Linked DNA regions of Arabidopsis thaliana. The protein of the gene in region 2 interacts with the protein of the main gene of each other region in a pairwise test. Each region holds a gene or a part of one and is shown on either strand. Other genes may lie near its edges.

Region 1 (3,928 bases), on a different chromosome or scaffold from region 2:
AATATAGTTGGTTTTTTAATTTTTCTTTCAAGAATTTTTTTTATATCTATTAAAATTATGTTTATGTAATGTAAGTTATCTAACTCTTTTAGGGCAATTATTTTTTTAATGTTACATTTAAATACTTGTGAACACCAATTAAAGATTTTGAGTATGGAATTCAAAATTGCTTACATATATCTTCCAAAGACCAAATGAAAATTGCTTACACAATTACACTATCTTCAAGTCTTTGAGACTCGGTGATGAAGCCTCAAGTAAAACTTCCTCGTCCTATAAACCACACTCAAACTCAAAACCATAGCCATTAGACACAACATGGACATGAGACTGCACGTGACTGAATAACACACCGAGCCCGTGCAGACGAGCGACTCAGTCTCTGTGGTGGGTCCGGCTTGCTTTCTGGCGTAGTAGTCATAGATGTTACTAGCGATCACACCTGAGAACACAAATGACCCAATAGGCAAAGCTGTAATCTGGAAATTGTAAAGAGAACCGAAGCTCTTCAGGCCAAAAATGTCAGAGACTGAAGCAGGAGCAATCGCCCAATGAGCGCCATAACCCATTCCTATCACAATGGTCACTACGTAGATCTTCCCTGGCCAATCTATGGCATAGTAGATGAGCCCCAAAGACATTATCGCCTGAACCACAGACATTGCCAACGTTCTTGGAAGTGAGAGTTTCCTTTTGAAGAGGCAGAAAGAGATGAATCTGTCAGTAAAAAACACAGATGCTTCTTAAAAGCGAAAGTGAAATGGTTAAGGGTTTTGTACCTTATGATTAGCTCAGAGAAGTAGCCACCAGCAACACGGCCGAGAAAATTGGAGATGCTGATCAGTGAGACAAATATTTTGGTGTTGCTGTACCCGAGGGAATAACAAATCTGACCAAGATTGTCTATAATCGTGATTCCCGAACCTACACCTAGAACCAGAGACATAAATATAAGCCAGAAGTCAGCTTGTCCCAAAGCTTGTAACAAGGTGAAATCTTCTCCTATACACGGCGCTCTTTTCTTTTCCGGCGGTCTGTCACTTCTCTCAATTAAAGTTCTAGCCTCATGCTGATCCACATTGGAAGTTCCTTCTTCAGGCTTCACTGAGGTGACATTATTACCCGAGATGAAAACCGATGAAAAAGGGACAAGAACTGGAACAACCATGAAAATGACAAGGATGGCTCCAGAGGTTGTGATAATCGTTTGAGTCATATCAAAAACACTCTGAAGTACCAACAATCCTAGTAAATATACCGCAAGGACAACACAGAAACCGTAAATAGCCAGGAATCTTAAATCATCAGATCGCAAGTTCGTTCTGCAACTTCTTTCCACGGGTCTAACAATAAATAGTAGAGCAAGAACCACGACTGGTGGTCCAAGAGCAACCATGAGAATAACCGAAGAATCATGAGAAGGGTTGAACATCAAATAAACCTGAGTCAAGATTGCTCCACTCAAGCCAGAAAACCCTTTCAGGATTCCCACCACAGGACCTCGGCTTTCTGGGAAGTTATGAATGCATGACACAAGCGACGCTGTATTGTAGTATGTTTCCCCATTTGTTCCCACGAATATAGCAACAAACAACTACATGAACAAATAAACCAGAATCAAGCAGGATCACACTCATATGTAAGCTTTAACATCTTTTTTTTTTTTTTTTTTTGAATATCTGGAAGTTCAAGCCAAAATTAGAGAATCGTACAAATAATCAAAAGCAAAGCACAATTACTAACGAAATCGCAAATGTGTAAGCAATTTTGATTTGTAAAATTCATCTCACCATCCAGAGAGGCAAATTAGGCAATTGGCCAGTGACGACGAGCCAAACAACACCGTAGCCGAAAAGGTTCTGAGTTGCACCGACGAGTAGAACCACCCAGGAAGGTGAGACTTCAGATAAAGCACCGGAGACGAATCCGATGGCGTCACCGAGGTTTTTAGCTACGCCGAGAAGAGCGATCTGTTTCTGATTGTAGCCAAGGGAAGTCTTGATTGCCGGAGACATAGAGCCGCCGAATAGATAGCCAACGCCGGCGACGGATTGGACCCACATGGCGCAGACGAAAACTAGCCATCGGTCGTTGACTAGGAGCTCTAGTTTGTGACGCCACAAAGTCATCATAGTCAAACGCTCTCAAAACTTTCTATTTCTTTTTTTTTTTCGTTGATTCATATGATTACTTATTTTGTAATTTTCAGTTTCAAAGAAAAGTTTGGACAACACCGTAAATACAAATAAAATGTTTACTTATTTATATACAATTCATGTGTAAGGTTGAGAAACAAATAAGCAACAAGATAAAAAAAAAAAAAAAACACGAATCAATGAAGAGGTATACACTTCACAAGCTTAGGTTTAAAAATTGGTTTGCAAAAGCATTCACTTTTGTATCTCCCCAAAATGAATCTGTTAGTTTGAGTTGCGCTTAAGGTACACCAAAACTCCAAGTCCAGCAGCAAGAGCAGCCCCGGCTGCAACCGTTTTGTAAGCGGCTGCCCATGAGTTTGACTGGTCGTAGTCCATATCCTCTGAACTTAGACCTCTCCTGTGCCCTCTTTCTTCTGTGTAGTCCAAATGCAATTTTAAACCCTGCACCATTTGGAATCCCCAACCCAAATATACTCTTCTTTAGCCCAAAATCCACATTAACCAAAACGAGACCGCGGATTTAAGGTATCATTTCATCCTAGTTCTTTACACTAATTGACAATAAGTATGGATGTACAATTTATTACCTTCCAGCCTATTGATTTTGCATGTTCTACAGCAGCTCCAAGATCATTATCTGATGCTAAAACAACTTTGTCATTGTCTTCATCTTCGTACTACACAACACAAAATATGTCAACAAAAGAAGAAAATTTTTCCTATCTTCTCGTTTAATAAGTTTTCGAATAAATATGTACCATTATCTGAGGCAAGTTATCAGGCTCAATGTCATCCCCCATTCTTTGTAGGATTGCTGTTATCAGAGTTGTCAAACTCTGTGTTTCTGTTATTGAAAAGTAAAAACAAAAGGTTAATGGACTAAGCAGCATTGGCATAATAGGTGTCCTGTTTCTCAAGAGTTATGATTTAACGTACCACACATAAATCTATGCATTCGTCCCTTTTTATCTTGGAGTTTAAAAGCAAATGTGTTGGGATATGAAAATGATTTTGTTACTTCTATCTCCGAAGATAATTTCATCGACTCTTCTTCACTGAAAAATCATATGATCCAGTTTAAGAAACCACCTTATGGTCAAAACTAAATGGTTCAAAGGAATATGAGTAGAAACCTCCTCGTTTCATCGCCATCTTCGTTAGGAGACAAAGCCATAGCAGAGTCCCAAAACTTTTGCATCATTGAGTTTGCTGTCTCATTGTTTATTCCAGCCGTACTTCCAGCCTTGTCAAAAGGAAATAAAGAGTTTATAGCAAAACAAGAATAGTATGCAACAAATATATCATGTTCTTTCTTCTCTCGGATTGTTTATCGATCTTGTCTCATGTTTTCGACTTCAACTAGAAGAGAATAATAGAAGAAAAAAAGTGTACCGTAGTAACAGCAGCATGAGTTATGTGGATCACATCAATAACAGCGACAACATCTCCATCTGTATGTAATCATCAACATTAGACAAGTGTTGAAATAACAATGCTTCATACTTTATAGCTCAAAGTCAGTTTTGAGGACATTTTGTTACCTTTATCCAATACAGGAAGATGCAGAAATTTGCCATTATGCATGATATGTAAGGCTTCAACAATTGCCATATCAACTGTTGCAGATTCTGGATTCGGTGTCATAACCTATAGAATAATGGGATTGAAAAGAAACAACAAAGACGAAAAATGAGTACTCATATAAATCTAAGAGTTGAAAAGAATAATTTCAACCAGATTCAAAACTAACGAGCATAAGCATACATACA
Region 2 (3,928 bases):
TAATCAAATCTCACAATAATAATAAACTTCCACTAGTAGTTGATTTTTGATTAAGTTACCTGAAAGCAACAAGAGCCCAAATGAGACCAATGAGACTAGAGTAAGTGTTTGGGTTTCTTATGAGTTTCCTCCACACCATTATCAATATCAGCCGAGTCATCACACTCGCTGGTGGCATATGTTTTACCGGTACAGTTTCACCCGTTTCTATAGCTTCTTTAGGGTTTAGCTCTGCTGTGGAGTTACACCGAAGCTTGTGTAGTCCGTTAGGCACTTCCTTTACCCTCTCCGACTCTTCTTCCCCGCCATAGTCCCCGTTCATCGGACCAGCTACAAATTTAAGCAAATACAGTTTGAGATTTGTGTCCATATGTTACAAAAAAAAATACAATTTAAAAGTTAAAAACCTTTGTTTTCACCATTTTGAGTATGATCAGAGATCAACATTCGAATCTCTTTTGCACCGCCTTGATCGGATTTTCCGACTTGTTCATTGGCTCCATTATCAACTTGAAGACCAGCTCGGTCCGAAACGGGTGATCCGTTGGATCCCCAAACAAACATATGAAGCTCCTTAGCATCATTACTATTTGATTTTCCTACATGATGATGATTCTCTTTTGGAGCTTTACTACCGGTTTTATTACCGGTAGAAAACTCCGGATTAGGAGCTGGGTACGACCCGGGAGCTCCTCCCGGGTAATACCCGAATCTTGGCGAAGAAGCCATAGCACAACTCTCCTCAAAATTCGAAGGTCTAGGAGTAGGTCCTCTCGAGGACTGAACAGAGTACATATCCGCCGGACCAAAGTTCGAAAGCCGGCCACCGGGAAACCCCATCATAGAGTAAAAATCAGAATGATTGAAGTTAGATCCTCTTGGAGTAGTGTTAAGACTATAAATCTCAGCTCCGGTGAGATTAGACGGACGAGGAGTCATATTAGTACCACCACCACCGTAAAAAGATCTCCGAGAAGCGTTTGATTTTCTCACCGTAACATGAAGCTTACCATCGTCACCGATTTGAGCATCAGTTTCAAGAAAATCATGTCCATCTAAAGAAACAACATCGGACTCAACTTTGAACGATACAATCGAAGCACCAGTCTCTGGAAACTGTTCCATGATCAAGATCTTAGCTCCTCTGTATTCGAAAAGAAAGAGAAGAAGCGTGTACCAGATTATACACTGAAGAACAACGATCTGAACCATGAGTGAGCCGGAATATTCTCCGTACATGGCGATCAAGAGAGGTATTCCCATAACGAGAGTGTTGGGAAGTGTTGAAAGAGAGAAGATTGTGATGCTCCATTCAAGACTACCGGAGCGAGTGAAGTTAGCCCAGATGATTAGGAGAGTGAGCATGATTAGTTTTTGGAGTGTATCGGCTGCGATGAATCGGAGATTCATTGCGTAAGGATTGTTTGAGGAGATGAAGTGGAAAGAGAGAAGAGGGACGGCGAAAATAGCGACGAAGCGGTTTATGCCGGAACATTGGTCTGGTGAGAAGATTTTCCACCACCGGACTGAGCCGTAAGCGAGGATCATGGCTACGTAGAGTGGTATCACCGCCGTGAGGACGGTGTAGAGGTCGTGCCATGTGATCATATTGTTGTTCGCCGGAGTGGCAAAAGTGTAATTTTGAGTGTGGAAACCGTTAGGAAGTGAGTTAGTGTCAGTCTCTGTTCTCTATGTGATGACGGAAGCTTTTAACAGAGAAGCTAGTGAGTGTGTGAGAGAGAGAGAGAGAAGGAGAAGATTTGATGATTTTTAGATTTACGAGAGATGTCCCTTTACAGCTTTTTATACAGCAAACACATGACGACCTAATTAGTTCTTATTTCTATTTTATTACTTCTTTAAACATTTATAAACCTTATCTATTTTTGTACTTTTTAATACTATATATATCTTAGCTTTCCCCTAATTTATGTACCATTTAAGATGATATAAAGAAATATCATTTATGTAGTATTTATAAGTTATGGTTATGAATTGTGTTTGAAATAGGTTATGAATTTGTTACGAAATTGACTGAGATTTTTTAGAGTGGACTGACTGTCTACATGTCACACATAAATGAAAATTTCCATTCAATGAATTTTGTGAATCCTTGATAAAAACAATAAAGAGATATTGTGGTTTACCAAGAAAAAAGAAGAAATTAAGTGTGGTTTCATCTAAAAGTAATCATAATATTTTTTTATATACACGTAAATGCCGGTCCAAAACTTCTTGGGCCACTTAACGTATTACTAGGATTGATTTCTCATAAGCTCGTTGTGAGATAAAATACAAGTGTGCATTTGGCCCAAACAGAAACAATGTCGTAGTGGTGATTTAAACATGTGCTTATAAGGAGCAAAAGATCACTATAAATTGGTAAAGAAGGTGCAATGCAAGATCATATTCGCCGAACTAAGTTGACCTAAATTCTATTTCTTATTGTCTAATCGTCTTTTTTTTTTCAAGCTAGGGTTAATTATAACATCCTATGCAATCCCAAGAAATCTCACTTTTAAGCCACCCTGTCCATTTTCTTTCAGATGGTCTATCATGCATTCTATGTGGCCTTTTAAAAAAAGGTTGGAGTTTTTCGTTGTTGTTGTCGGGAAAGTATTAGTGTAAAAGAATACCTTATGCCATATGGAAGACTGGAAGTCACAATGTTATCAAGATCTTTCCGCGACCGTATCAAGAATTGTTTTTTCCTAGAAGTCACAATGTTATCATAGCTTTGAATGAATTCGATTAACTTCAGAAATATTTTATCATTTCACAAAAGTAGTAACATCTTATTAAAAATATCTATTAGTTTATGTTATCAGTTCATTTCATCTTTTAATCTAGCTAAATTTTCAATTCGATTTGATTTATAGACCAGTTTTATTTTGAGATAAATTTCTTGCTTATAACGTTTACACAATTATAATCGCAGACACATAGCTGATTTGAAGTCTTCTTGAAAGCAATTGCTTCTTCGATTCATCCGCGTCGGTTTATCCCTCTTGACAATTACACATTGACTTTTGATATATAATGTAAGCTCTAACTTGGCAAAGTTCTTAACACAATTCTGCTCATGGTTTGGTCATATTTTCTAATATTATAAAACATAATTATCTTAAATAAAAATATTATTTTTATTTTTTTATTTAATCAGTTTATTTCATAAATAATTTGGATATACATCCGTTTGATCTAGCTAAGATATCAATTCGATTCTAGATCAATTTTATTCTCGGAGACTAAACATGGCCTAGTAAACTACAAAATGGCGAAATCATACAAACATATCTTGACCAAAATCATCACTGAAGAAAGAGAGAGAAGAACGTAATATTACATCTGTACTGAAATTAAAAGATGAAAAAGAGACAAAAAGAAAAATTTAACCATCGGTTAAATATCAATATTGGACCGATACAAAAAATTATAGTTAAACGTTACTGAGAGATGGCCCTTTAAGAGAGAGCGACGCAACGGCCTCAGCGACGGTTAAGAAGAGAAACTCGGGCCTCATGAACTCTTTTTGTTCGTCAGCTCTTTGAAGCTTCTCCACCACTTCGCTTAGAGGGTTCACAAACACAAGCTTCACACATAAAATAAATATCCAGTTTAGATCAAAATCTAATTAGTTTCCTTGGATAAGTGACAAAATCGGATTGTGAAAACAACTATTTTTACCTCGATGTCCTTCTTGGCGGTTGTTTTCTTAAGTTCCTTAAAAAAGGACACTCCGTTTGTGTCTACACCGCTCACGGCTTTAACATATATAAAAGCAAAGTTAGCTAGTTGAAATATATTGGTTTTCTTGAGTTTTATGGTTTTGCATTAGAAAATTAAAACTAATTAGCAATGAGTGAATTTGCCTTTAAGTCTAATCACATTTCCTATACGGGTTTCTAATAGATTCTATCAAGACTAA

The links.
Region 1: the proteins of PIN7 (region 2) and AT5G50520 interact in a protein complementation assay, tested with the Arabidopsis thaliana proteins (one large-scale study listed by BioGRID).

What each region holds. Positions count from the first base shown.
Region 1 is NC_003076.8:20,569,456-20,573,383, forward strand, and holds AT5G50520 (Major facilitator superfamily protein), read right to left. Parts: upstream 2,202-3,928; 5' UTR 2,133-2,201; coding exon 1,791-2,132; intron 1,595-1,790; coding exon 780-1,594; intron 691-779; coding exon 225-690; 3' UTR 78-224; downstream 1-77. Other genes in the region: AT5G50530 (CBS / octicosapeptide/Phox/Bemp1 (PB1) domains-containing protein), read right to left, coding at 2,421-2,600, 2,747-2,836, 2,918-3,003, 3,096-3,214, 3,293-3,402, 3,552-3,610, 3,701-3,806.
Region 2 is NC_003070.9:8,181,799-8,185,726, forward strand, and holds the start of PIN7 (Auxin efflux carrier family protein), read right to left. Parts: upstream 1,853-3,928; 5' UTR 1,609-1,852; coding exon 408-1,608; intron 331-407; coding exon 60-330; intron 1-59. Other genes in the region: AST91 (sulfate transporter 91), read right to left, coding at 3,440-3,592, 3,688-3,764. UniProt on the Arabidopsis thaliana protein: Acts as a component of the auxin efflux carrier. Mediates the initial auxin gradient which contributes to the establishment of the apical-basal axis in early embryogenesis.